Callithrix jacchus: one gene and its partner. The protein of the gene in region 1 purifies or fractionates together with the protein of each later gene. This does not show direct contact. Links are inferred from orthologs where the notes say so. Each region holds a gene or a part of one and is shown in the gene's direction. Other genes may lie near its edges. The genes, in order: EIF3E and EIF3B.

The links.
Region 2: the proteins of EIF3E (region 1) and EIF3B purify together in Homo sapiens (affinity purification with mass spectrometry; 9 studies listed by BioGRID and IntAct, counting the BioPlex papers as one, with this or other methods). This does not show direct contact. The link is inferred for Callithrix jacchus from reciprocal best matches to the Homo sapiens genes EIF3E and EIF3B.

What each region holds. Positions count from the first base shown.
Region 1 is NC_133517.1:88,593,113-88,608,629, forward strand, and holds the start of EIF3E (eukaryotic translation initiation factor 3 subunit E), read left to right. Parts: upstream 1-6,247; 5' UTR 6,248-6,344; intron 6,345-10,473; exon of another isoform or gene 10,474-10,562; intron 10,563-15,517. UniProt on the Homo sapiens protein: Component of the eukaryotic translation initiation factor 3 (eIF-3) complex, which is required for several steps in the initiation of protein synthesis.
Region 2 is NC_133503.1:56,680,576-56,696,092, reverse strand, and holds the start of EIF3B (eukaryotic translation initiation factor 3 subunit B), read left to right. Parts: upstream 1-5,732; 5' UTR 5,733-5,800; coding exon 5,801-6,287; intron 6,288-10,250; coding exon 10,251-10,443; intron 10,444-11,808; coding exon 11,809-11,928; intron 11,929-12,240; coding exon 12,241-12,298; intron 12,299-12,801; coding exon 12,802-12,930; intron 12,931-13,506; coding exon 13,507-13,664; intron 13,665-15,517.

The sequences.
Region 1 (15,517 bases):
TGTTTGTGTATGAAAATACAACTTTTATAAAACAAGTGACATTTTACCTATAAACACCTTAAGCTATACACCTTACATAGCTGACCCTGCCATACTCTGAATGCTGTTGTAATAAATACATCTGTAACACTATTAGTCACATACTATTTTCAGAAATGATTTAAATAATTCATATAAAAAATTGTTAGTAAAAATAAAATTGTCTTGAAGAAAACATGTATTCACCTTTGATAACTCATTATCTCAAAATCACAGCATCCGAAAATCAAGTCATCTTCATTTCCTAAAAATATGGCTTCCCTTCCCAATGTTCACATTTCTGTTAATTCCACCTTCTGTTAAAACTACCTGACATTCCACTTTTGAGTGCTGTTTCTGACTCTCTACTTTGGTTATCTAAGTCCTGTGGACTCCTTAAAAATTTCTAAGATTTATATCTTCTACTCTATTTCCACTGCTATTATCCATGTCCAGGTTTTCATCACCCCGTGCTAAAATTGCTAGGATAGCTTCCAAACTGGTCTCAACCCAATTCAATCTGTAAATTACTACCAGATATTTCTAAAAATTTACTTCATTACAATTTAAATTCTTAAGATACCCAATAATTCCTATCTTCTTTGAAGCAGTATAGTGTATAACTGGAACTATAGATTTTGGAGTTCTTTATTATTCAACTAATATTTACGAAATGCCTACTAAGTGCCAGGCCTGATCTGTGCATTGAGAATAAAGAAAGAAAGAAAAAGATAAAGTTCCTATAGTCAATATGGTTAGAGTCTAATAGGATAAAAAGAGGAAAATTCACATAACTTCAAATAGTGAAGTTCTAAAAAGAAAACAAAAGCACCATATGATAAAGTCAAGAGATTGGGAGAAAAAAGGAGCTTTTGGAGAGGGTGGTCAGAGAAGGCTTCTCTAAGAAAGTCATTTTCAAGCTAAGAGAAGAATGAGAAGGCACCAACCATAAACAGCAAATCTAAGTTCTAGAGAAAGAAACTAATTTGGCACGTTCGAAGAATGACAGAATGGCAGCCTAGATGGATGAACATAGTTAATAACTCAGTGGAGGAGAGCTGTATAAAAGCAGCTCAAATCACAGCACTCCCCAAATCATACTAGCTGTGGGATATCTGACAAGCCATTTCATCTCTCATTTGTTTCCTCATCTATAAAACAGAAATGAAGCCTATCTCATAAGACACACGTGAGGATTAAAAGAGATAACATATACAAAATGTTTCAGATTATTTTCATCATTATTATTACCATTACTGCATACACTAGTGGATCCAAGTTCAAAAACTTTGTGAGTTCAAGCTTTGTGTTCTAGCATTCACTCATGGAAAAAACAAGCATTTACTGAGAGCTTGTTTTCTGACTCTTACCACTATGGCTGGTCAACAGAAGGACTGAGAAGATCTCCAGGTGTAAAGAATGCAAACAAGTAATTAAAATATGATGGAGAGATTAATGAGGTTCAGTAAAAATTCTCTTAATCATCCTCCAGTTAGAATCAACTCAAAGAAATGCTTCTGTAAAACATAATGATGCCCACCAAGATTTTAGAAGCTCTTGGCTAGCTCTTGGTTGTCCCAAACAGTTATTACATTTTAAAAATTTAGCTACTTGTATCCAAACCAGTTCATGCCAGTTAAATTTAACGTAGTATAATGAAATATTATAAGGCAAAGAAAACTTGAGTGCAAAAAGAGACTGGTTTCTAAGAAACAAAGTTAGATGCTGTGAAAAGACTCTATAAAAACAAATAGCTCTGAAAAACTATCACATTAAATATGGGGATTTAATTTAAATATTATGAGAAAAATAATGGAAATATAAAAGACTTGTGCACTGAAGCTTCTATATTAGGGACTTTATGTTCCTGCTCCATGTTAAAGAAAGCAAAACAAAAATGGTTTATTAAACATGAAAAGGAATTTCAATCAGGGGACCTCTACCGAAGAAAAGCCCTGTTCTATATCAACCTGCAAAAGTTTAATGAAAGGTGCCATTGATGTTAGTTCTAAGTCAGGAACTAGGCTCCCATCTACATACAAAAAAGAAGTCTGAACTCCTTAGTCTAGCATTTTAAGGCTCCAACCTATCTTTCTAGCTTTTACCTTTCATAAGAGACTTTTGCAAAGCATATACTTTATTCTCATACATATCTGTACTTTCCAGACTTTGAAGTCTCATAGATCTGTATCTTAAAAGGTGACCAGAAGTTGTTTTATGAATGAGGGGAGATATATGGTGCTATCTACTTTTCCACGGAAAATGCAGAAAAGAATAAGTGGTGACAGTGGCGGTGTTGGAGGCAGAAGGAAGATGAAGGCAGAAGGAAAATGCAGAAAAGAGTAAGTCGTGACAGCAGTGGTGCTGGAGACATAAGGCAGAAGGCAGTTTTGAGTTTTATTAATTGTGAAATAACCATTACATGTGCCTTGTAGAACACTGGAAATATGGATCTTCAGTTTAGAAGTGAAATTTCAGGATGTGTTCCTTGAAATCTGGACCTTGCCTGCCTTACTTGGCACTATATCCTCAAGAACTAGAACAGTGCCTGGTGCACAGTACTCAAATATATGTTTAATTAAGGTGTTATTTAGTATACAGGCTAACGGATAGGTAAAGCTGGATGTGGATAAGATTGCTCACTGATGTCATTTAATCTATTTTAGGTATCTTCAAAACTAATGAGTACTTTGTACCATCTTTTCCCAGAAATATGCATGTTTACACAAGTACTAAATTTTGCACAATTTCATCAGACCACATGGTATTTAATGCTTGCATCAATTTAAAATCTATTGATCTCAAACTTAAAAACCAACAATAACATATTAAGAGGACAACTAAGAAACAGTGAAAACACCAAAAAATGAGCAAATGGATGTAGAGAACTCAACAGAGGAAAGGTCCGAAAAGAAAGAAGAAAACAAGAAGAATGTTATTAAGAAAGCAAAGAAAGATTTTCACAGAGGGAGTGATCTACAATAGCAAAAGTAGTAGAAGTACACAAAACACGTATGTTAGAGTTGGCATTAGGTCTCCTAGAGATCTTAGCGGAGTGGTAGGCCATAGAAACCAAATTGAGGTTGTTTGAAGGACTGAATGAAAAGAGAGGGAGTAGGGCAGTGAACATAAACAACTAAAATGTTCTCAAACATTTCTCACACATTATTTTTTCAACAAATACTCATTTAATGCCGATTATATGCCTGGCATTGTGCTAGGCATCCTATCCATGTCCTGCCCAAATAGCTCAAGAAACTTGACTATACTCTCTAAATTATCCTTTCCACCTCCAAATGTCTAATAACTTCCCTATGTAATAAGCATCAATCACTTTCAATTGGCTAAAGAAACAAACCAAATAATCTACTCTATTAGTAGTCTAACAAAGATGTGGAAGTGTTAAACTTACTGCATAGGTCTTTTATAAACAAGTGAGAAATTTTCCTATCACAAGAATTACAGTATTCTGAACTAACCAATTCATGACACTGTTCAGTGGAATTCCTAAGGACACACCTCTGACACACCCCCCCCCCGAAAAAAATCTAAACAAAACACTATCTTAAGAATCTTCCCATCACCCTCCTACATCCTAAAATTTTGTTACCATAACTCTCTGAAATAAAACTCTAGAATACTCTTTTCTTAAAAGTCACTTAAAATAGAATTTTAATTCTGGAAAGGTCTAAACCTTTATTTTACTAGTGAGCAAACTGTATCCTATTAGTTAAGCAAGTTGCCTAACTGTAGTATCTTTAAGATACTAAAGAAATTATTTCAATGCTAGAAAAATGGTTTGTAATCTTTTTTGACAATGTGTGTTTATTATTAATCCCATTAACAATTCATTTAGTCAACAAATAATTACTAAGCTCCACCCCCATGCATCAGGCTCTAGGAAAGTGACAGTGAACAAACAGGCCTGGTCCCTCTCATCCTAGGAAAGACCAAATTTTAAAACATAACACAATTGGTTCAATGCTTTAATAGTATGAGAATAGAATACATAATCGAAGGGTCACAGGTAGGTTTTGTTGTTTGATTTTGTTGTTTGGGTTTTTTCTTTTTCCAATTTTGTTGGGGGATGGGTAAAGGGAAGGGGGCAGTAGATGAGTCTAGTAGGCTTTTTTTTGTAGTAGGTGAGCTTTGTGGGGAACTGATAAATGATAAACTTTAATGGGGACAAGAATGAGGCAAGGAGGGAAGAACATTCCCAGTGGAAGGACTAGCATGTGCCAGCTTTCAGAAGCAGCATGGCAATTTAGGGTATTCATCAAAGGCCAGCATAGGCAGCTCACAGAGTGAGAGGGACAATGGCTCAAGATAAAGCTGGAGACATGGGTAATGTCCAGATCATAGAGAGGAGGGACATAATCAAATCAGTACTAGCTAATAATAACACATCCTTTTACATAGTACTTTAACAGTTTACAAAGCACTTTAAAATGTTTTCTCTTCCGTTCCTACAAACTTGTGTGGTAGCTATTATTTATTATTCCAAAATAATTACATCAATCCTCTTCAGAATTCTCACAGGGTAAGTTTAAGGTCCAAGTTACTCAGTTAAATCACCTTGTCTGTTGGTAGTACATAACTACTAGTCCCTCAAGATTTTATATATGCTACTAACATCTAGGAAAGCTATACTAAACATACCTTCATGATTGTACTTTCTAAAAATTATGTACTTAAAACATTTTTTAAAAGCATTAAAAGTAACAGCCATTTATCCATCATCCAGCTTACGGAATATACGCTGAAAATAGCCATTTATCCATCATCCAGCTTACGGAATATACGCTGACACAAGTCTTTTAAAACTATGTGTTTATAGCTTTTCTCCATAGATTGTGAATTCCATGAAAGTAGGGACTGTGTGTTGATAGATCCAAGATTTTGCACTAAGAAATTAACACTGTTGTTTAATACAATGGAATCCCTCAATTCAGGTAGAAATACTGAGGTTCATAATATGCTAGAGGCCACAAAGCCAATAAATAATTTAACCCAGTTCAAGTACAAAGGAATTTTGCTTTATTTCTTAAGAGTTTACAACTTTATAATACCTGATAAATTTATTCACGATAAAACCGAAAAAATAACTTTCAGTACACATATTTTCAGGTCATTATTAAAGCATCCCACAAAAGCATTTGCTGAACAAATTAGCTATGGAAGTCTCCTGTATTATGCTAAATGCTGGGAATATGAATTCCAATCACACAGATTCCATGCCTTAACGAAACTCAAGTTTCTTAAGCACACAGAATTGATCCAAGGTTTGGCTGTTTCCAGATTTAAAGAACATATCCCACTCTAGATCGACTAATAGGTAAAAATGTCCATCACACATGAGCACGTACATGGCCCAGAATTAATAAATTATTTTTCCCTTCAGAAAAAAAAAAAATTGCTAGTAGGGAGTACGAAGGAAGTTGTGCTGTGTGTGCAAATGTGTTTTGAAAAGGAGTGGGACAGAGACTAGCCTGAAAGGAAAAGAAACTGGAAAACCGGGTTTAAGGAGAAAACTAAATGTAGAGTGGCATATGAGAATCACAGTTGTTAAAGCATCTTCTACAACAGCTTTTCTGCACAGAGCTGTAATCCTTACATAGCACTTAGTAAAAGGCCTTACAGACCCTGTGTTTCTCGACGCCAAAGAAGCTTCAGTAACCACGTATTCCGCTTCCTCCGCACCGCCCAGCAACCACAGTTAGTGTGTGACAACCCTAGCCCCAAGTCCCTTCCGCCTCATAAATGGAAGCGGCCCTGGCCGCTGGACTGGCGCAGAGGAGGGCAGGTGAACCGATGAGACGACACTGTGGGAAACGCCATAGAGTACGCGCTCAGGCCAAGGAAGGGGTCAGCCTCAGCCTCCACCTCAGCTTGGCCCGTCCAGTGAGAGATGTGGTATCAAAAAAAGACCAGAAACCCCAGCTCCCCGAAGGCAGCGGGTAGTCCCAAACGGCTTCCTAGCACTTAAAAGCGCTGGTAACTTCCGCACCCGCCCCCATCCGAAGTTACCTTCCCAAGTGACATCGTAAAGCTCTGAGACCTTCGCCATCTTCCCAAGAACCTAGAGGCAGCGGGGTGAGAGGGCGGGGAGCCGCAGTCACGTGACTCGCGACCGGGCAGGGGCGATTTACGTAACTGGTTCTCATTGGCCAAGAGAGCAGAGGGGCGGTATTCGCTACGCACGTGCACGCAGCTCTGCGGAGGGGCTTTCGGGGAAGGGGGCGGAGCGAGCTGGGTGGTGCGCCGCGGTCCCGGAATCTGAGGCTTCTTTGGGTGCTGGCGGGGCGGAGGTGCTGACTCTGGGTGAGGTGTGTGTTTTTGTATTTGTTTTGCCGTGGATTTTTTTTAACAAATGCTGGGTTTTTAGTGTCCGCCAATCCTAGCTTTTCATTTTTTTCTGCCTAGGCGTGTTCATTCTCTTCACACTCCCCAATCAACAATTTATTCTCTTCAGGGCTGGCCGTGGTGCAGTCTTTTGCACGAATCCTTTACTAATCGCCAACTTTCCTCCTTCTTTAATGGGATTTGCTTTCCGTTCACTTTTTAATCGACTAAACGGATACTCTAAAGTTTTTATTAAATCTCTTCGAGGGACTAAGTGGGATTCTTTGCGCTTTGAAGTTCCCTTGAATACCCTTGGGCTAGCCTGTACCCTTCGTTTACGCTTGTCGTGCCTGTCATTGCTTCATCCATGTCTGCATGCCACACTAGGTTTGAAACTGTAGCGAGTATGTAAGTACTTACAAGAAATGAATGTACGAATAAGACCTTTACAGTTCCTGAACTTCGCTCCTCTTTTCTCCTGGTGGGTGGATGGGGGAGCCTCCTTTCCCACCAGACTAATTGCTTTTAGGGACCTTTGGACGTCGTCTCCTAGAGCTAAGGAGAAATGTCTGGACAGTAAGCAAAATATTTGAAGATGATAAGCATATATTTAGTATTTGGAGCAATGAGAACCTGAGATTGTAGAGGAGGAATATGTAAGCTGAGGAAAGACTAAAAATCACTGCAATGCCGCCATAGTTATGGGTCAGTGAAGAAGGGGCAGTAAAGGTTGAGAAGTAGAAATAATCCTATCCCACAAGTCAAAACAGTGGAGGGGTTTTATTCCCAGCTTTATTGAGGTATAATGGACAGAAATTGTGTATATTTAAGGTATAGGAAGTAATGATTAGATGTAAATATATATTGTGAAATGATTACCACAACCAAGCTAATCAACACATCCATCACCGTACCTGTTTCCCGTGTGTATGTGTTGAGAATACTTAATCTCTCAGCAAACTTCAAAGTATACAATACAAAATTATTATAGTCACTATAATGTACATTTGATCTCCAGAACATATTCACCTTACAACCAAAAGTTTGTACCCTTTGACCAACATCTCTCCATTCCTCTCCTCTCAGCTCCTGTCAACCACAGAGGGTTTTTTTGTTTGTTTAAAAAAAGAAAAGCAATAACCGTCAGGCCATCTATTCCAGAGAAGTCACGTAATGACAGAAAAGACTAGTGAAGTTTTATACTTGGATTGAATTCTGAGTGAGCTGGCATTCTTTCTAAACAGACTTAAAAAATCTTTCATTCAGGAAGTTAAAAAATGCTCCACCCAGAAATTCACGTATTCTAATTCTTCAATAAAGCAACATGGTGCAATGGGAAGAAAGAGAACTCCCAGATCTGATTCCAGGTTCTACCTTTTAGTAGCTGGGTGACTTTCAGCTTGTATGTCTCTCTCAGCATCAAAGAGGCTTATATGTGAAAAGCTAATAATATCTGTTGAAAAAGAAAATAGCTACCTTGAGTTGTTCATCAACATGAAAGCAGATACTGCAGCTAAAACCCCTGCGTGGCACTCTCATGGAGGTACCCTCCTGTATCTAGAAACACTGTTTATGTGCTAATCAGTCCCAAATTGATCAATCTTCTCAAAACCCACTCTGCTTGCTTGACATACTTGCTTAGATGGCTAGTTGATATGCATCTCAAAGTTAACATAGCCCGCACAGAACTCTGGATTCCTGCTGTCACCTTCTGCATTCCCACCTTGCTTTTCCCCATCATAGGTAAGGAAACCATTTACCTACTTGCACAAGTTAAAATTATAGGAAGTACCTTTGATTCCTTTTTTTGACACCCCCCCATATCCAGTCTATCAGCAAATTCTACATTGCACTTCATCTGCTTTTCATTTCTATTGCTGTTACCTTAATCTAAGCCACAACTTGTCTCTTCTGAATGATTGTGATAGTCTCCTAACCACCTTGGTTTCATTCTTGCTATGTAAAATCAGTTTTTTTATACAACAACGCTACTGGTCTTAAAAGAAAAATCAGACTACAGAAGTCCCTTGCTGATAGGCCTCAAATGGCTCCCCATGGCAATAAAAATATACTTCAAACACTTTACCATGGTTTAAAAGGCTTTACTCAGCCAGGTGACATTCATCTACCTCTTACCTCATCTCCTACTATTCTGTCTCTCCTTTCTAGCCCCCAGCCATTCTCATCTACTTACTAGTCCTCAAACAGGCCAAGCCCCTATCTGTCTTGTATCTGGCATTTGCCCACCTGCTTCCTTTTCCTAGAATGCTCTTCTCCACATCTTTTAGTGACCATCTTCCTTTCACCATTCATATCTCAGTTTTAAATGTATCCACTCATAGCCCTTTTTTGACCATCCAATAAAAAGTAGCTCTTATATAATGCCTATTCATCTTCATGACATTTATCACTATTTGATTTCTTGTATGTTTACTTGCTTACTTTCCGTATTTTACACCACTTTAAGCTGCTTTGGAGTACCAACTTTATTATTTTAACCTTGGAATATCCATGCTAGGAAAATACCTGAAACAGTAAAAATGTTTGTTGAATGAATGAATTAGATTAAAAATGACAGCTTGTATTAATATTTATTAAGGATAACATTTCTTAATAGTATACATATGAACTCTTGTTTAGTTAAGCATAGGATGTTTTCTTTTTATAGCTAATACTTTCCTAAAACTTATAAATTCAGTGAATTCAGGGACCATGCCAATTTTTTTTTTTTTTTTTTTTTCGGGTAGGCCCTGCCAGGGTGCCCCGGGTGGGACTACTCTGTGCCAGCTCCTCCCCCGGGTGCCCAGAGTCCACCAATTCATTTTTATATCAGCCGTTACTACAATACATTGCATACAAGAGCCACTTAATATTTTCATGAAATTATTGATGCTTAACATTTTTTTGGTTTGTTTGAGGGGACTAAAGCCTCTAGGAAGTCCCAAGTATGTATTTTTTAAAGCCTTGCAATGGATTTTAAAGACTATAACTAATTGAGGAAATAAATATTTTCTAATCACTTCAAGTAAATATTCCATAGCTAGCTACTATTGTCTGTCAAGCAATAAGCTATATGACACTGGGTTAAAAGTCATCATTTTCAGAATTTCTAAGTTGGAAAATAGAGTAATCTCATTTTTTAGTTAGAATGGGCTGATGATTCTTGAGAACAATATTTTTCAAACTTCTCTTGCCTACTACTCATACTAAGGAATATTTTTAATATTGTCACACAGTATGTGTACACATATTTAAAGCTGAAACATAGTATACAAACTAGTTTTGTCATGTGCCTTGTCTTTTGCATTTTCTATTCAAAATGTGTCAGTTACAGTGTATTTTCTGAAACTACTGGTGTGACATGATAATGAGGTCATGACTCATAGTTTAAAAAACATCCATGGATCTTGTATGTATTTCCTAACCTGAGGCCCTAATTTGAAATGATTTGCCCAAGTTTCTGCCACTAGTAGGTAAAAAAGATAGACGATTCATATGTAATTAGTTGTTTCGATCATAGATGAGAGATAAAATACTAATGAAAAAAATATATCTAGGAGAAATTTTATCACCAACAGTACAGTGAAGTAGGGAAAATGATTGCTTATAGATTATAACATAAGATGTCTAATAAAACTTGCCTTCCTCAGGCACACGTAAGAAAAAACTGGTATGAGAGTGACAAGAATTCTATATTCTTCTTTAACATTGTGTAACATGCAATTATAACTAAATGAAAATAGAAATACCTTCCATAGATAAAACTAATACTGAAAGCATAAATATCAATCTTACCTTCTGTAACTCTAACTTTACAAGATGTCTGCAAAGTTTTGCCTCTTACCCTCTCCCTCATTGGGAAAATTTTCATTCAAATATGTTTAAAATATTTAATCTAGTTTTTCTGATTGCACATTGGCAAAATTGGTGACAAATACCAAGGAAATGTCCAGGCAGCCAAATAATAGATTATATTAGCCTCCACATTATGAATAAGATGTGTCAGACACCACGGGCAGCATTATCTCACTTAATGATCTCAATAGCACAATGAAAATGTCTGTAATTGTTTTTATGTGAAACTAAATTGTGATTTGGCTTTTTTCCTACAAGATTAGGTTTCAAGAGTTGGAATGACAACAAATCAGAATGAACTAGAGTGAGACCAGAAAAACTTTGAATAAGCCCACATTTTCTTTGAGGTAGGTTATAAGCCAAATTAGTCCACAGAGCACTTTAGGGTACACATCTCTTTTATGGTTTACTTAATTCAGTTAATATCTTCAGACATAGTGGAGGACTAAAGCAACCTCTTAAATTTAATAAACTCTATGGCATTCATACAGTATACATTATTTCACAGGATATAAGCCAAATTAGTACACAGAGAACTTTAAAGTACATTTCTTTTATAGTTTACTTAATTCAATTAATATATTCAGATATTGTGAAGGACTAAAGTACCTTTTAAATTTAATAAACTCTATGGCATTTATATAATGTATATTATTTCACAGGATGAAACATACCATTCTAATTGATTTTACAATATTCAGCATCTTCATCAAACCATTTATTTAGAATATTCTGTCTACTTTTTCCTGGTCTTAATCATAGTCAATTAATGTCCCACATTATGTAACACAGCTTGTAACTCCTATTTACTATGACATTTATTTATCAGAGTAAATTGGTCTCACTACAACTCTCATATAAAATTTACCAAATCTTTTAAATTATATTGTTTCTAATTAGTGGATTATAACCATAATCCATTTTTATTTAACTGGAAATATTATTCATTCCATATCACCAGAAAGTAATCTTCATTTCATGGCACCAGACTTTCATTGTGACACATCTTGTTCAGAAGGAAATTTTCCTTAGCATTTTATTTACCAAGCGCCAGGTTAATGTAGAATTGTTTTAGGAATCTACTGAACGTTGTTTTAATTACATTTTTAAAAGATTGTACAATTAATTTGTTTACCCCCAAATCAGTACACACTCCCCGCTTTGCAGGCACAATTGTAGCATTTAGGCATGTCTGTTTTTTTTAAAGTTTGTTGTCATTTCCAATACACATGTTTTTAAATGTGCCAGCCATCATTTCATACCCAGTTATATTATTTTAGAAAGGAAAAGGGAGTCTCTGGGAAACATTTCTAGTGAGATCGCTTTGGTCCTTCTATAGCAGATTTTGCAAACTGATTATTACGCCCTGTGCCGAAGTTATAACAGTGAAAAGGAAAGTACATCCAGAAAGAGTACACCCAGAATTCCCTCACATGGGCAATAAATTAGAGCTGTTTCTTTCTGAGATTTATAACCATACTTGAGAGTCCACTTTTTCAAATGATATTTATTTAATTTCCCCAAAGTGCATATTCTATTCTGATACACACACACATCTGTGTAAATGTACTCCTTATGCAAAAATGTATTTTTGTAAACATCTCTTTGGGTTACCAAATATCCAGGACTCCCTAAATACTATTAATGTAAACTGTTGGTCCCTGAAGACCATCTAGACTCTACTTTCTACAGCAGGACTATAATGGAATCCTTTACTTGAAAAAACATTCAAAAAGGTGTTTATTTACAATAAATAAATTACATTATGGGAAACTCATGCAAAGATAAACTGAATGTCACATTATACATGTTAGTTTACTATTAATATAATTTTTACTTTTGAGTAGTCCCTCTCTTTGGTAGTTTGGTAGCATTACTCTAATTACAAGTGGCTGCATCATTCATTCAGACCTGTAGTTCTCAGATATCTTATCCTGGCCACCAGGCCAGAATGCCATTTTCTTTACTGGTCATCTTTTACTGTGGTCATGCTGACCACTCTGCTAAAATTGGCTTAAAGGCCAACAGCCACATTGAGCATAATGTGGTCATGTCCTGTTTTAGATCATAAATCACATGCTCTCTTGTACATAAGAGGGCCGATTTGGTCTACCCCATGGTTTTATTTGGGAAAAAGACTAGTTTCCTGGCAGAATGTCTGACAAAACTGCCCACCCCGAATCCATTCTGTCGGACCTATGCATCATCTTCTCACTCCTAAGGAAACAGCATGATCTCTATTTTTAAAAATTTAAGATAAAATTGTTTATCTTAAAACTATGAAGTAAGGAACAATACAGATGTGCTTCAAAAGCTACCACTTAAATTACTGCCACCTCTAGAAAATCTTTGAGCAATAAAATATTTTCATTTTATTCAGGAATAAAATATTTCATTTCCTTCTGTTCGTTATGTTTCTTTTACACATTTCCCTTGAATCTTTAAATAATGAACTTGAACATGTATCCAGTGTGGATGGGGGTGTGATGTGGGGGTGCTTTCAGTTGTTAAAAGTGGATTGGAAGAAAGATTGGTCAGAAAGAGCCATAGACCGTGATTTAGATCTGATAAAGTATCAGCCAACTCAGTGAGAAGCTTCTGAGCAAAGATTGCCCATTAGAGGACACCCACAATGGGCAGAAATTGCCAGGCCTCATGTAGTGACATGCTCAGTTATTCTCTGGGGACTACACAGAAGGGCATAGCCTCAGCTCAAAAGCTGTGATTAATCTGGAAGATTTTACTAGCTGGAGGCTGTCAACTTCCTGTACTATTTCAGCAAATTCTTTTTTGAAGGGCGATTCAAACAGTGTACCTCATGTCTGCCACAGTAGCCATTATTATTATTTTTCCATTCTGGCTATGCACAACCTCAACACTATTGGGTAAAGAATTATTGATGAGAGGTAGGGGTCTGTGTTCTTCAGAAGTCACTAGTGAGTTGACATATGGAAATTACATTTTGACTGCACAGAATATCTTTATTATATTATAAATAGTTCAGCAATGGTTGCCTTGTGTTAAAGAAAAGACGTGGTAGAATACATATAATCCACAGAGGCTTGTTTTTTTGAGACATAAATCAGGAATCATTCATTCTTTTCATGGGTGGAGACTAATAGAACTACCATTGGTAAATTACCTAGAACTTCATATTTCTTCCTCATTTTTTCACTCAGCTGCCAAATATCTCAAAGTAATTTAGAATTTTAAACATGTCACTCCAAGAATAATAGTAAAACTCTGAAAAAGGGCAGCATTTCTAAAATTCTAGAATTCAAGCTCTTCATGAAATACTAGAAAATTCCAAAGACACTGCACTCAGAATGCCCCTAGATAATTTAGTGGCTAGCTGCCATACTATCATTGATGGTTGCTTCTTATTAAACTTAAGGATAAATTTTATCAGTATTTTCCAACAGATAATTGATTGCAGGTGTGAAATATGAATGCTGAGTAAATATTCAGCCCCTCAATGTCATCTTGCTATTCTCTCATCCAAATATCAAGGCAGCCTTAATTAGCATCTGCTGTGCTACACAGATGCTCTTCTGGGAAGGTAATTAATAGTGGTCCATACTCTGGACTGCCAGAAGGAATGATATAATGAAATCAGTACCTAATGGGAGAAGGCAGAGTGCTTCTCAGACTTCACATGACTAGTAAAGTTGAGTTTCAAAAAGAAGGATTGTCTGTTTTTAAAATTTTAGCAACAGAAGAGGACTACTGATTGTCTCTTTTAAAGAATTAAAGCAACAGAAGAAAACTTTGGCAGTTCTTTTCAGGGAGCAGTTACATGGGACACAGTAGTTATATATCTCAGTTCACAAGCTCAGGTGTGCAAGAACAAAATTTGCACTTTAATAAAACAAAAGTTTTTCAACATCTGTTTTAGAATCATGGGTACATATGCAGGTTTGTTACATAGGTTTGAAGTACAAATGAATCTGACCACCATGTGGTAAGCATAATATCCAAAAGGTAGTTTGGGTTTGTGTGTGTGTGTGTGTGTGTGTGTGTGTGTGTGTGGTGTTGAGACAAGGTCTCACTGTCACCCAGGCTGGAGTGCAGTGTCACGATCAAGACTCACTGTAGCCTCCACCTCCTGGGTATGAGCTCAAGCTTAATCCTCCAGCCTTATACCCTCCCCACCCAGTAGCTGAGACTATAGGTGCATGCCACCACGCTGGCTAATTTTTTGTAGAGACAGGTTTTCGCCATGTTGCCCAGGCTTGTCTCTAACTCCTAGGCTCAAGCAGTCTGCCTGCCTCAGCCTCTCAAAGTCCTGGGATTATAGATGTGAACCACTGTACCTGGCCCAATAGGTAGTTTTTTCTTCCCCACTCTTATCTCCCTCCCTCCTAGTCCCCTTTTGTATTCCATGGTGTCTGTTGCCCCCATTTTTATGACCACATATACCCAATGTTTAACCTCTGCTTATGATAACATACAGAATTTGGTTTTCTGCTTTTGCATTAGTTTAGGATAATGGTTTACAATTTCATTCATGTCACAGCAAAGGACATGATTGTATCCCTTTTTATGGCTGTGTAGTATTCCCTGGTGTATGTGTACCACATTTTCTTTATCCGGTCCACCATTGATGGGTATGTATTGATTCCATGTCTTTGCTATTGCAAATGATGTTGCAATGAACATATGGGTGCAGGTGTGTTTTTGGTAGAATGGTTTATTTTCCTTTGGGTATATACCCAGTAGTAGGATCTCCAAACTGCTCTCCATAGTGGCTGAATTTACATTCCTACCAATTGTATTTCTCCATAGCCTTGTCAACATCTGTTTTTTTTTTTTTTGTTTTTTTTTTTTTACTTAATAACAAAAGCCATTCTAACTAGTGAGAGATGGTATCTTTTTGGTTTAGATTTGCATTTCTCTAATGATTAGTAATGGCAAACATTTTTCATATGTTTGTTGGCTACTTGTATGTCTTCTTTTGAGAAGTGTCTGTTTATCTCCTTTGCCCACTTTTTAATGGGGTTGTTTTTTGCTTGTTCAACTGTTTAAGTTCCTTGTAGATTCTGAATATTAGACCTGTGTCAGATACATGCTTTGTAAATATTTTTTCACATTTTTTTGGTTGTCTGTAAAACTAAATTTTTATTTGAGGTACCATCCTTTGGAGAAGACAAAAATTTAATCTCAATTTGGGATTAGCTTCATCCTGCTGCCTCTACCTCATTCCAGGCTACTCTTACTCGTGTGAAAGTGATATTCAAACTATTTAACAAGCTATAGGCAAGGTCACCAGCTGTCATGGAAGCACCTTCAAGATGGTCCCCAG
Region 2 (15,517 bases), on another chromosome or scaffold:
CCTGGCCATAATTTCCCTCTGCTTTTTTTTTGAGACGGAGTTTCACTCTTGTTACCCAGGTTGGAATGCAATGGCATGATCTCGACTCACTGCAACCTCCGCCTCCTGGATTCAATTCTTCTGCCTCAGCCTCCTGAGTAGCTGGGACTACAGGCGCACGCCACCATGGCCAGCTAATTTTTGTATTTTTAGTAGAGACGGGGTTTCACCATGTTGACCAGGATGGTCTCAATCTCTTGACCTCGTGATCCACCTGCCTCGGCCTCCCAAAGTGCTGGGATTATAGGCATGAGCCACCGCACCTGGCCTTTTTTTTTTTTTTAACGGGAGTCTTGCTCTGTTGCCAGACTGGAGTGCAGTGGCGTGATCTCAGCTCACTTCAATCTCTGCCTCCTGGTTCAAGTGATTCTCCTGCCTCTGCCTCCTGAGTAGCCGGGATTACCGGTGCTGCCACTATGCCCAGCTAATTTATTGTATTTTTAGTAGAGATGAAGTTTCTCCATGTTGGCCAGGCTGGTCTCGATCTCCTGACCTCGTGATCTGCCCGCCTTGGCCTCCCAAAGTGCTGGGATTACAGGCATGAGTCACCCACCAATTTCCCTCTTCTAATAAGGACATCGGTCACTGACTTAGGGTCCACCCTTGTCCAGCTTGACTTCATCTTGATTACATCTGTGAAGACTGTTTCCAAACACAGTAGCGCGGATCCCCAGTTTCCACTATTTCAGTTACCCATGGTCAATTACGGTTGGAAAATATTACATGGCTAAGAATTTTGAGAGGGAGACACCACCAGACACCACATTCACATAACTTTTATTACAGTATATTGTTATAATTGTTCTGTTAGTTATTGCTGTTAATCTCTTTTTTTTGAGACAGAGTCTCACTCTGTCGCTCAGGCTGGAGTGTAGTGGGGTGATCTCGGCTCACTGGAACCTCCACCTCCTGGGTTCAAGATTCTCTTGCCTTAGCCTCCTGACTAGCTGGGACTACAGGTGCATGCCACCATGCCCAGCTAAGTTTTTGTATTTTTAGTGGAGACGGGGTTTCACTGTGTTAGCCAGGATGGTCTTGATCTCTAGACCTCGTGATCCACCCACCTCAGCCTCTGAAAGTGCTGAGATTACAGGTGTGAGCCATCGTACCCAGCCATCTCTTACTATGCCTAATCGTACCCAGCCATCTCTTACTATGCCTAATCTATACACTTCATTGTAAGCTTGCACATGTAAGTAAGTAACATACTGCCAGGCGTGGTGGTTCACACCTGTAATCTCAGTACTTTGGAAGGCAGAGGTGGGAGATCACCTGAGGTCAGGAGTTCAAGACCAGCCTGGCCAACATGGCAAAACCTCATCTCTACCAGACAGAAAAATTAGCTGGGCGTAGTGGCGGGCACCTGTAATCCCAGCTACTCAGGAAGCTGAGGCAGAACTGCTTGAACCTGGAAGGCAGAGGTTGCAGTGAGCAGAGATCACCCCACTGCGCTCCTGGGCTCAAGTGATTCTCCCACCTCAGCCTCCAGAGTAGATGGGACTACAAGAGCCATCACCAGGCCCAGCTAATTTCTTATTTTTATAATTTTGTTTTGTTTTTGAGACAGAGTCTTGCTGTGTCGCCCAGGCTGGAATGCAGTGGTACCATCTTGGCTCACTGCAACCTCTGCCTCCCAGGTTCGAGTGACTCTCCTCAGACTCTTGAGTAGCTGGGACTAGAGGTGCATGCCACCACACCTGGCTAATTTTTGTATTTTTAGTAGAAAGGCGGCTTCGCCTCGTTGGCCAGGCTGGTTGAACTCCTGGGCTCAAGCAGTCCTCCCAGCTTGGCCTCTCAAAGTATAAGAATTACAGGTGTGAACCACTGCACCATGCCTTAAGTTCTCCCACACTTGGGGGAGCAGAATTTGCCATCACCTTCTAAAAGCAGGAATGTCATTTATGAACCCCTTATAGACAGGTTCATGTAAACGATGTAAACATACACGGTTTACTCACCTCTGTACCCCCACCAGAGTGCCTACCACAAAGTAGGCACTCACATAATTTTGAGTATCAACGGCAGCACTTCTTAGATATATTTTCTGCACAGTTTTATCTGTAGAAAAGGCTAGGAAAGGCTGGACACAGTGGCTGACATCTGTAATCCCAGCACTTTGGGAGGCTGAGCCAGTTAGATTACTTGAGGTCAGCAGTTTGAGAACAGCCTGGCCAAAATGAACCCCATCTCTACTAATAATACAAAAATTAGCCGGGTGTGGTGGCAGGCACCCATAATCCCAGCTACTCTGGAGGCTAAGGCAAGAGAATCACTTGAACCTGGGAGGCGGAGGTTTCAGTGAGCCAAGTTCGCACCACTGCACTGCAGCCTGGGCAACAAGAATAAAACTCTTTACCTCCAAAAAAAAAGAGAAAAAAAAAAGATGGCTGGATAATATGGTGGCCTCACACCTGTAATCCCAGTACTTTGAGGCTGAGCTAGGTGGAATACAAGGTCAAGAGATCAAGACCGGCCCAGCCAACATGGTGAAACTCCATCTCTACTGAAAATACAAAAATTAGCTGGGTGTTGTGGTGGACACCTATAGTCCCAGCTACTCTGGAGGCGGAGGTTACAGTGAGCCAAGATCACACCACTGCACTCTGCACTCCAGACTGGTGACAGACGGAGATGCCGTCTCAACAAAAAAAAAAGGCTAAGGAAGTCCATTCCCCAGCAAAGTGAAGAGTGCCTCCTCTGTGCAATGCATGCCTGCCATAGAAGAGTTTTCCTTGTCTAAGAAATATGCAGTTGCCAAGCTAAAATCAGCTGTTTTCAAGCTCTTTGGTTAGTATTTGCTTCTTATTCACTGACTTGCTACCTTTTAGCATTTTCTAGAAGAAAAGAGTTGGCAGAGCCTGATGATCTAAGAAAAGCTGCAGCGGAAACTAGAAATTGGGAGGATAATTTGGTCTGGAGGTGAAACCTAGTTTGCCTTTGTGGAACTGTCCTACCAGCCACACACTAAAATGTGTCATCCAGCCACCTGGCTGGGTGTGGTGGCTCATGCCTGAAATCCTAGCACTTTGGGAGGCTGAGGTGGGATGACTGCTTGAGCCCAGGAGTCCAGGTGACACCTGGGCACCATAGTGAGACACCATCTCTTTTTTTTTTTTTAAAGCCAGAGTCTCGCTCTGTTGCCCAGACTGGAGTGCAGTGGCAGGATCTCAGCTCACTGCAACCTCCACCTCCTGGGTTCAAGCAATTCTCTGCCTCAGCCTCCTGAGTAGCTGGCGCATGCCACCACACTGGGCTAATTTTTGTATTTTTAGTAGAGATGAGGTTTTACTATCTTGGCCAGGCTGATCTCGAACTCCAGACCTCAGGTGATCCACCTGCCTTGGTCTCCCAAAGTGCTGGGATTACAGGTGGGAGCCACCGTGCCCAGCCAAGATCCCATCTCTGTTTAAAAAATGTGTTATCCCTTACTATACAGATGGAGAAACTGAGACAGAGGCATTAAGTAACCTGCCCAAAGTTACACAGCTGGCAGCATGATGAGGAGGAGTCAAACCTAGTACTAGACATGGGGAAGACACTGCTTCTTTTTTGCTCTTTTAAACACCATCAGAACACAACGGGTATGGTGGCTCATACCTATAATCCTAGCACTTTGGAAAGCTGAGGCAGGAGGATTGCTTGAGGCCAAGAGTTTGAGACCAGCCTAGGTAACTTAGTGAGATGCCATCTACAAAAATAAACAATAAAGAAATTAGCTGGGCGTGGTGGCACACACCTTCAGTCCCAGGTATTTGGGAATGTCATTTAATGCCACTGAACTGCGTATGAACTGCATATTAAAATGGCTAGGCCCTTCGAGGTGATTCACCTTAATGCTGGCACTTAGGGAGGCCGAGATGGGAGGATTCTCTTGAGGCTGGGAGGTCAGGGCTGCAGTGGAGCTGTGATTATGCCACTTCACCCTAGCCTGGGCAACAGAGTGAGCCCTGTCTCTGAAAACAAAGAAAAAACTATATGATGAAATATACATAAAATTTACCGTTTTAGCATTTTTTATTTTTGCGAGACAGGGTCCCACTATGTTGCCCAGGCTGGTTTTTAACTCCTGGACTCAAGTGATCCTCCCACCTGGGCCTCCCAAACTATTGGAAAAACAGGCTTGAGCTACCGCGCAGGGCCTAGTTATTTTAATATGCAGTTTAGTACACAGTTCAGTGGCATCAAGAACATTCACCAGGTTGTGCAACCATCACTACCGTCATCTCCAAAACGTTCTCATCCTCCCAAATTGAAGGTCTGTCCCCATTAAACACTCCCTACTTTCCTCCCCAGCAGGTACCACCTGTTTTATTGATTTAATTTTGGTAGAGACGAGGGCTGGAGGGCGGGGGGAGGCTGCGTTGGCCAGGCTGGTCTCGAACTCCCAAGCTCAAGAGATCCTCCTACCTCAACCTCCCAAAGTGCTGAGATCACAGGCGTGAGCCACCGCGTTCTTTTCTTTTCTTTTGAGACGGAGTTTCGCTCTTGTTACCCAGGCTGGAGTGCAATGGCGCGATCTCGGCTCACCGCAACCTCCGCCTCCTGGGTTCAGGCAATTCTCCTGCCTCAGCCTCCTGGGTAGCTGGGATTACAGGCACGCGCCACCATGCCCAGCTAATTTTTTGTATTTTTAGTAGAGACGGGGTTTCACCATGTTGACCAGGATGGTCTCAATCTGTTGACCTCGTGATCCACCCGCCTCGGCCTCACAAAGTGCTGGGATTACAGGCGTGGCCACCGCGCCCGGCCCACCGCGTTCTTTTCTAGTATGACGAAGACATCCCACGAGTAGTTGTCCTCCACCCCGGCAAAAAGCAAGCTAGGAGACGGAAACACCCAATATCCGTTCCGCGAGCACCAGCGGAGACCTAACCTTTCCGGTCCTCCCTGCGTCTGCCTATCACCCTATGCGGCGAAGACCCGCCCCCGCCCCCACGTGACCCGCGCTCTCCCGCGCGGAGGGGGATGGGCTAGGTGGATCGAACCACTGTAAACGCCCGAAGGCGGGGAAGCAGGCGGTGACGGCCGTTAGGGAAGAATTAGGGGTAAGCGATTAAAGCAACTCGGATACATTTTTGTATCGCGCCAGGTAGTCGTCCTTCTAGTCGCGTGGGCCGCCTCTGGCTCGCCTTGAATTCCTTTTCTATTTTAGAGTTGTCCATCCTTTTGCCCAGTCAGTAGACGAGTTCAAGTGACCAGCACGGACAGGGGGACATTCATAATGTAAGCTAAACGGTTTGCCTAGCAAAAGGCTGAAACGCCCGGAACAATCGCCTTTTGAGCCTCCACTTTTCTATGGTATTAACTGTTGAGTTAGAGGACATTTTCATAGCATTCCTCATATTAAAATGATTTTTGGTCCCCGCTTTCGGCGCTACAAATAGTTCAGCCTCGACCCGCAGCGCCTGACGGGAGAGGAAAGGGGGCGGCCGCCATGTTGGACGGAACCATCCCCTGCCACACACGGGGTGTTCAATGCTCCCATGAGTTTACTGATGAATAGAAACAACCTTGACAAATAGGATTAAGCATTTTCTTGTCACAAAAATGTCAGTTCGGTGACTTTCGGACGCGGTCCTGCGAATGTAAGTCCTCTTCGTCTCGTCGTGAGGTCCCAAGGCGTGGGTGCGCCCCTGGCCTTCGTGTGGCTTCCCGATCTCACGCACATGGCTGCGCTGTAGCCGGCGCGGCGCGCGGTGCGGCCTGGGAGAGTCGGAAGCGTGGTGGCCGCGGAGCCCTGCGGGGAGGCAGCGTTGGGCCCATGCAGGACGCGGAGAACGTGGCGGTGCCTGAGGCGGCCGAGGAGCGCGCCGAGCCCGGCCAGCAGCAGCCGGCCGCCGAGCCGCCGCCAGACGTGGGACTGCTGCGGCCCGGGGGGCCTGGCGCTCCGGAGGCGGCGGGGACCGAGGCCGTCAGTGAGGAGGTGGCGGCCGCCGAGGCCGGACCGGAGCCGGAGGTGAGGACCGAGGCGGAGGCGGCCTCCGGCCCATCCGAGTCGCCTTCGCGGTTGGTCGCCGAGGAGCCGCCCGGGTCGCATGCCGAGCCCCGAACCCCGGCACAGGGCGAGGCCCGGGGGAAACAGGCCCGGGACGAGCGCACTGACAGCCGGGCCCAGGCGGCGTCCGAGGACGCTGGAGGAAACGAGGGCAGCGCGGCCGAGGCCGAGCCCCGGGCGCTGGAGAACGGCGACGCGGACGAGCCCTCTTTCAGCGACCCCGAGGATTTCGTGGACGACGTGAGCGAGGAAGGTGAGGGCCCTCGGGGTGGAGCCGGCGAGCGGCGCAGGAGCGTGTCTAGGGTTCCTGAGGTGGGAGACGTCGTCGGGCTGTGCCACCGTTTCGTGCAGAAGTTCCAGCGAGGGTATCCGTGTGTTCCCGAGAAGCCACCATGGAGGAGGTTCCCGAGTGCCCGCCCTGGAGGTGTTCTGAGAGCCCAGCATCTCCCTTTTTGTAGAAAAGGGGGCTAGATGGAGTCCCCTTTGGAAGCTAGGCATTTGTGAGACAGTCAGAAATCTGTGAGAGTGGGAGAGGGCTCCAGGGGGACTCCGTTATGACTGGGTGTGCCGGTGCCGTGAGTGTCGCTGCTGAGGGTACAGCAAAAACCGAGAACCCGGTGTCAAGCTTGCGGGTCTGCGTGTCCCCAGAGCTGACCCGTCAGACTTTCCAAGGTAGGGATCGTAGTAACAGGTTGTGGCAGAGCCAGTGATTTTGTCTTCCTGCCCCGCAGAATTGTCCACCTCCAAAGACTTCCCTAGTGGGACAGGCAGCCCCTGTCAAATTCCAGTTTGGTTTTCCTTTATGCCCCCTCCCCCACGGTAAACCTATAAGGCGAATTATTTTTCTAGGTTTTAATGTTGTTGATAACAGCCTGCTTTGCTTTCATCTCTACCTTGATTGGATTTACAGGCATATTTCTGCTTCCTGCCTGAAGGTGCTCCTCTCCTAAAGTGACTTCTGATGAGAGCTGATCGCATTTGTTTTTGCTTTATTTTAGCCGTCTTAAGTCTTTAAGTTGGGAACACATTAGCCTGTCTATTGGCTAAGTTAATACTAGAGTGAGAAAAATAAAAATACTCTTGATGACACAGCCGGTGATACACTAAGGCAATTTAGGGAACAACATAGAGTGGCCAACTTATAATTTAAATGTTTTTTAATTTTTTGGAGACGGAGTTTTGCTCTGTCACCCAGGCTGGAGTGCAGGGGCATGATCTCGGCTCACTGCAGCCTCTGCTCCCGGGTTCAAGCAATTCTGCTGCCTCAGCCTCCTGAATAACTGGGACTAACAGGTGTGCGCCGCCATGCCCAGCTAATTTTTGTATTTTAGTAGAGATTGGAGGTTTCACCAAATTGGCCAGGCTGGTCTTGAACTCCCGACCTCGTGATTTGCCGGCCTTGGCCAGTTTAAATGTATTTTTAAAAGGCTATCAAAAATATAAAAATTAGCCAGATGTGGTGGTGCACACCTGTAGTCTCAGGTACTTCGAAGGCTGAGGCAGGAGAATCATTTGAACCCAGGAGGCTGAGGTTTCAGTGAGCCAAGATTTCATTACTGTACTCCAGCCTGGGTGACAGAGTGAGACCCTGTCTCAAAAAGTGAAACATTAAAGAATAAAAAGGCTGTCAGTTACTGTGACCATTATTATGTTGCACTTTTTTTCATAAAAGACTAAATATTTGCATGAAAAGCAGGAAGGACACCACAAAGAAGACCTTGGGAGCATCTAGTCTAAGTCCTTTGCTCCTGAGGAAACGTGTCCCTGGAGGTGGAGTAGGCTGCTGAGAATTCCTGGTGGGTCAGCACTGCTTGGGGTCCCCCAGACTTTCCTGCTCAGAATATTGTTCTTTGTAACACTTCGATTTTTTTAGATTTTGAAATTAAAACTTTTGGTTTAGTGATTGTTTTGAGCCCTTGGATATTCTGCTGAGTTTTTGTTGTTGTTTGTTTGTTGGCTTGTTTTTTAAATAGAGACAGGGTTTCACCATGTTGGCCAGGCTGGTCTTGAACGCCTGACCTCATGATCCTCTGGCCGTGGCCTCCCAAAGTGCTGGGATTATAGGCGTGAGCCACCACGCCCAGCCTGAGTTGTTTTTTTAAAGCATTATTTGAGTCTATCAAATTCACAAATTTCTAATATGTGAATTCTTTCTGGAATTGGGAAAAGCCAAGGTTGGCTGGGCTGGGTGATGACTGTGGGTCATCCTGAAGGTGCAGTGGCCAGAGTGACAGGTGAGGCATCTGGTCCTGGGGAACTCAGGCTCAGCAAGTCAGCATTTGTCATGGTCCCCTTGGTTGTGGTTGGTAACTCAGGTAGGTTTTTTGTTTATGAGAAGAGCTGCCCTTCAGGGTCAGTGTGCAAGACAGTATATGACTACCAGTTCTTTCCGGAAGGGGTCAGGTCTTCCAGGGAGCAGACCAGAGATGGCCTGGAGTCCTTGTCTTGCCGCTTTTAGGTTTTTGGTATAGATTAGCATCCCAATCTGTAATCATCCTTTCAGGTTAATGTTTCAGCTGCTTTTGGTGTTTGGTGAAACAAATATGTGATCAAGATTTTAACTCGTAAGTGTCTTTTTTGGCTCATGAACTATTTTTTCTCTTTCTATTTGCTATTTAGTGTTGAGAATTGTTCCCTTCTATTTTTCCTGGAGACAGATTGGGAATCCGTGAACTGTGTGTAACTGGTGCTTCGGCTGAGAGTGATCAAGGCGATGTGTCTTCATGGTGTAGTTACTTCATATATTTCCTTCCTAGGTGTGGGCAGGTTCTTCTAGTCTAGATGCTTTGAGCTTGTGGGAAAGGAGTATACAGTTTGTGTAAAAGCTGAGCCTTTTATTGCAAGCCTTGTAAATTCAGATCAGGCTTTCAGGACATTTAATTGACTTTTAGGTGTCCCTCTGCTCCTCAGAAGGAAGAGGGCTGAAAGTCGAGTTGATCACTAGTGCTCAGTGATGTCAGTAATCACACCTGTGTAATGAAAGCCAGAAGGACTGGGTTCAGGGGGCACCACATAGCTGAACAGGTGGAGGCTCCTTCGGGGTGGCATGCCTAGAAAGCACAGGGAGCCCCTTCGCTTTTCTTCCATCTACTTCTTTGTGTTCTCTATAACTTCTGTTATAATAAGCTGGCAAACCTAGCTCCCTGAATTCTGTAAGCTGTTGTAGCAACCCAAGAAGTGGGGAATAGTGGGAACCCTGCTTTGGAGGCTTTCGGTCAGAACTGGAGATGACAGCCCACTACTTACAATTGCCATCTGAAATGGGGACCCTTCTTTGGGACTGAACCTTCAGCCTGTGGGATCTGATGCTAATTCCTGGTAGATAGTGTCTGAATTGGGTTAAGTTGGAGGACACCCAGCTGGTAGCCCCTGGAGAACTGCTTGATATGGACCCACATCTGGTGTCAGAAATGTGTTGAGTGGCATGTGAGTAGGAAAAACACTTTGCTCCATCCCTATCTCCTGTGTTGATCCTTCGAGATTTTTAACATAGGGAATGTTGGATAAGGGGTTTTGGACGAAGGTGCCTGGTGGTGGGCCGGTCGGGAAGTTCACCCAGGTGCCTTCCCTGTTTGTTTTTTTTCCTGATCCCCTTGTGAATGGCTATCCAGTTCTCTGCCTGAAAACATGAAAATAACTGGGAACAGGAGGTGGGAGAAGAGTTACTATTTTCATCCCAATTCACTCAAGAGAAGTTTTCCTCCTTGAATAATTTCTAGTAGTTTGAATTCACAGCACAAATGTGCTGCGAATATATCGAGCATTTAAATATTTACTTGTTTGCTAAAATCTTCTGTAAAAGTCAGTTTTCATTGACATTGGGATAGGGTTCTGCCTAGATGTTGCTAGAAACCTTTCAAAATCTAGGGATCTCTGAAAGATCTAATATTGGATATTCTTTAGATTTTCTTCTTCATTTGCATTTTGCATTGTTAAAAGCTTTTTATTGTTAACTGTCTTCTGGTCTTTGGTTATTGCCAGAACTTAACTGACATACCTTGACTGTTGACATTTCCATCAAAGGGAGAGAGAGGAGTCCCAGTCTCCCTACTTCTCACATTTAAATTCTGAAACAAGCTAGGGTTGGGGTTTCTTTTGCTCACAGCAACAGCATTTAGATGATTCATTGTCACTTTCTGGATATTTGTTCAGTGTGCTTAATGTGTTAATGTTTTTCCTGGTAAAAGTGGTCATTTGACAAATCTCTGTTTCGCAGAATTACTAGGAGATGTACTCAAAGATCGACCCCAGGAAGCAGATGGAATCGATTCGGTGATTGTAGTGGACAATGTCCCTCAGGTGGGACCTGACCGACTTGAGAAACTCAAAAATGTCATCCACAAGATCTTTTCCAAGTTTGGGAAAATCACAAATGATTTTTATCCTGAAGAGGATGGGAAGACAAAAGGGTGAGTGTTCGCCTGTGAGAGAAGTCTCATCTGTGTCTGGCACGTCGTGATGAAGGAGTGTTGAACTGTTGCCTCGCCCAGGCACGTGGGCCATTCTCTTTTTTAGGCTGCCCTCAGCGGGAAGCTCTCGAAAGCAGTGAATGAGAAGATGATAAAGTTTGTTTTTTTAAGTTAAGGTTTTAAAGTTTTTAAAATTGGCCAGGCATGGTGGCTCACGCCTGTAATCCAAGCACTTTGGAAGCCAAGGAAGGCGGATCACCTGAGATCGGGAGTTCAAGACCAGCCTGACCAACATGGTGAAACCCCCGTCTTTTAAAAATAAATAAATAAATAAATAAATAAAAAGTTTTAAAATTACCTAGAATAGGCCAGCATGGTGGCTTACACCTAAACTCCCAACACTCTTAAAGACTAAGGCCAGGAGTTTGAGGCTGCAGTGAGCTATGATTATGTAGCTGCACTCCAGCTTGAGTGACAGAACAAAACTCTGTCTCTCAAATAAATGACGTAAAGTAAAAACTAACTAGAATAGTTTTAGTTTCTAGAAAAATTATCAAATGTAGGTAATGCTACAGTGTTTTTATGTTGGGCAGTCAGTTGAAGGGTAGCCTCTTGACCCTCGGTTACTCATGTTACAATGAAAAGTGCTCTGAGGTCCTTTGTAATGTTGCCTATAATACACAATATTAGGCTATTTTTAAGATTTTGTTTATTTTTGAAACAGAGTCTCACTCTGTTGCCCAGGCTGGAGCTCAGTGGTGTGATATCAGCTTACTGCAATCTCTGCCTCCCAGGTTCAAGTAATTCTCCTGCCCTAGCCTCCCAAGTAGCTGGGCTTACAGGCACGTGCCATCACGCCTGGCTAATTTTTGTATTTTTTAGTAGAGAGGGAGTTTTGCCGTGTTGCCCAGTCTGGTCTGGATCTCCTGAGCTCAAGTGATCTGCCCACCTCAGCCTCCCAAACATGAGCCACAGCGCTGGCCACAAGTTCTTTTAAAAAACAGCTTTATTGAGATAATCGATACATAATAAATCTGCATAGTTTTAAAGTATACAGTTTAATAGATTTTGATGTCTACACTTAATGAAACCATTGCCACAGTCATGGATGTTTTGATTAGCTTTTCTATAATTTATAATCATAAAACTAGAGACTTGAATCTTCTGGTTAGGTTTCCCTCTCATTTAGGGAGCTCCTTGGCTGTGGGTCTGTCCTCTGTGTGACTGCCTTAGGCTCAAGGCAGGAAGAACAGCACAGATAACTCCTGGTACAGAGGGCTTGTCCATGGAGAGGGGTGGGGTAGACAGTGCATACCTGCCCAGCCTTATGGTGTGCGTGTGTATGAACGGCCCTCTTTCACTCAGGTATATTTTCCTGGAGTATGCGTCCCCTGCCCATGCTATGGATGCTGTGAAGAACGCTGACGGCTATAAACTGGACAAGCAGCACACGTTCCGGGTTAACCTTTTCACGGATTTTGACAAGTAAGTTCAGGTTTGGTCATGAGGCAGTGGACGTTGATGGGCAAGCGACCGGCCGTGTCTGGGTGGTTTGGTGCTTCTCAGTGGGCGTTGGTGCCTGTCAGATTGTTAACAGCCTTTCTGGTCAGGCTTCCGCAGGGCCACAGTGCCATTTCATAGCCCTGCCCCAAGCTCCTGGCCCGTAGCACCCCTCCCCATTATGCCAGTCACAGCCCTGGGGGTGGGCAGGCAGAAGTGCAGTAGGGCCATGCTGGACCCCTGGTGCTCTTTCCAGTCATCAGAGCATGGGGTTCGACAGTCTCCTTTCTCCTCTAGGTATATGACCATCAGTGATGAGTGGGATATTCCAGAGAAACAGCCTTTCAAAGACCTGGTGAGTGGCCTGAAACCTGCATCTCAGTGGTTTAAAGAAGTGTTGCTGGGGCGCGGTGGCTCACACCTATAACCCTAGCACTTAGGGAGGCTAAGGTAGGGGGATCCCTGAGTTCTAGGAATTCAAGACCAGCCTGGGCAACAAAGTGAGACCCCCTCTTTACAAAAAGTAAGTACATAAATTAGCTGGGCCTGGCATGCACCTATATTCCCAACCACTTGGGAGGCCGAGGTGGGAGGATCACTTGAGCCTGGGAGGATGATGCCACAATGAGCTATGATTGTGCCACTGGGCTCCAGCCTGGGCAACAGAGTAAGACCCTGTCTCAAAAAAGGAAAAAAGAAATGCTGGATGTTGTCTTGACTTGAGGTTAAGGTGTGACTTGGGAGTTGAAGTGTGGACTGAATTTGTCATGTCTTTAAGAGCAATAGTTGTGAATAAGTTTTTTTTTTTAATTAATGAAATGTTATTCCTTGCCTTCTTTTTTTTTTTTAATATATAAGGGTAATTTACGTTACTGGCTTGAAGAGGCAGAATGCAGAGATCAGTATAGTGTGATTTTTGAGAGTGGAGACCGCACTTCCATATTCTGGAATGACGTGAAAGACCCTGTCTCAATTGAAGAAAGAGCGGTGTGTATTTGCTGCCACTGGGGGTGGGACTCACCTCCCCTCTTTCCTTAACAAAGTGGAACTTTGTTTCCATTAGAAAACTGAAAGAGCAGATGAGGTTTTATTTTCTTTGAGATTACTTTATGAAAACAACTTATTTTATTCCTCTTCCAGCTTTGAAGTAGATCCTAAGAAGTGAACAGGCTTTGTGTATTTCAGTTATGAGTTTGCAGAAGGCCGGGCGTGGTGGCTCAAGCCTGTAATCCCAGCACTTTGGGAGGCCGAGGCGGGTGTGTCACGAGGTCAACAGATTGAGACCATCCTGGTCAACATGGTGAAACCCCGTCTCTACTAAAAATACAAAAAATTAGCTGGGCATGGTGGCGCGTGCCTGTAATCCCAGCTATTCAGGAGGCTAAGACAGGAGAATTGCCTGAACCCAGGAGGCGGAGGTTGCGGTGAGCCGAGATCGCACCATTGCACTCCAGCTTGGGTAACAAGAGCGAAACTCCGTCTCAAAAAAAAAAAGCGTTTGCAGAATAGATTTACTGTAGGAAGGTCTTGACGTTTGATATTTTGCACTGCCTTTTTCTGCAGAGATGGACAGAGACATATGTGCGTTGGTCTCCTAAGGGCACCTACCTGGCTACCTTTCATCAAAGAGGCATTGCTTTATGGGGGGGAGAGAAATTCAAGCAGATTCAGAGATTCAGCCACCAAGGGGTTCAGCTCATTGATTTCTCACCTTGTGAAAGGTAAGCTGATAGAAAAACACCAGTGGAGTTTTATGCTTTTCACCCCATGCCGGCCTTCTATAGGTAGTCTTTAATTTTGTAGCATTTCAAACGTAGAAAGATAGGAGTGCAGAGAATGCTGGTGTGCTTTACTGAGATCTTCTCACATTTGGTTGCCTTTGCGTCATCCTCTGTTGTCTCTGTATAGATACTTTTCCTGAGCCATTTGTAAGTTGAAGTAACATGTCCCTCTAGCCCTGAATGTGTGTTCCTAGAAATAGGATTTTGTTAGCATGACCACAGTACAGGCACTGACTTCAGGGATTTAACATTGTTTTAACATTTGATTGCATTGCCATATTCTAATTGTGTTACTTGACCTAATAGTTCTGTATATTATTTACTTTCCTTCAGGATCTAGTCTAAGGTCACATATTTTACGGATAATAAATTTTCCTTGCTCTGTCACCTAGGCTCGGTGCCATTGCAGGCCCATTGTAGGTAGCCTCAGCCTCCCAAGGTCAAGTGATTCTCCCACCTCATCCTCCTGAGTAACAGGGACCACAGGCACATGCCACAACTTACAGCTAATTTTATTTTTTTGTAGAGATGTGGGTCTCACTTTGTTGCATAGGCTAGTCTCAAATCCCTGGGCTCAAGTGTTCCTCCTGCCTTGACCTCCCAGAGCATTGGGATTACAAGTGTGAGCCACTGCACCCGGCCAAGCCAGGGTTTTTGATCTAGCTAATCTGGTTGTCTGAACCCTGCTAGGGAAAGGCATGGTTGTGGAAGGCAATGTGAGGGCGAGATGGGGCTGTTCTGCTTTGCCCTCATGGGTTGTGTCTGCCTTCCCCTCTGATGTAAAGGACTGTCTGTTAACACTGTGAACTGAGTGAGCAGGTGCAGTAGCTCCAGACAATCCAGCAGTCAGGTAAATAATGACTGGGAGGAGCCTCTAGGCTCTAAAGTTTCCCATCAGATTTATGCTGGCTTTTGAACTGGATGGGACTTTTTTTTTTTTTTTTTAAGATGGCGTTTCTTTCTTGTCGCCCAGGCTGGAGAGTAATGGCGTGATCTCAGCTCACTGCAACCTCCCCTTCCCAGGTTCTAAGTGATTCTCTGGCCTCAGCCTTCCAAATGGCTGGGATTAGAAGCGCCTGCCACCATGCCCAGCTAATTTTTTTATTTTTGGTAGAGATGGGGTTTCACCATGTTAAGCTTGTCTTGAACTCCTGACCTCAGGTGATCCACCTGCCTTGGCCTCCCAAAGTGTTGGGGTTACAGGAATGAGCCACCGTGCCCAGCTGTATTTTTTTTTTTAACCTTGTTAGTCTTAATTAAACATTGGTAAAGATATAATTCTGACCAAGCACAGTGGCTCGTGCCTGTAATCCCAGCACTTTGGGAGGCCAAGGCGGGTGGATCACCTGAGCTCAGGAGTTTGAGACCAGCCTGGCCAACATGGTGAAACCCCATCTCTACTAATAATACAATTAGCTGAGCATGGTATCAGGCACTTATAATGCTAGCTACTCAGGAGGCTAAGACACAAGAATTGCTTGAACCCAAAGAGTAGAGGTTGAAGTGAGCCGAGATCATGCCATTGCACCCCAGCCTGAGCAACAGAGTGAGATTTTGTCTCAAAAAAAAAAAAAGATAGAATTCCACACTGCATCTCCCTCTAGATCACTCAGCAGACTTTTGTGTAGGATCTGCTGGGTTTTTCCTGTGCTGATCTTGGATAAACTGGAATGCCTGCAGTGTGTTGACGCCAAGAATGAACAAGCGCTGCTTCTGCTTCCTACTCCACTTGGGATCTCTTGGGGCCGGGAGAGTGTGGTGTTTGGGGAGAGAGTTGGTTCCATGAGTTCTGA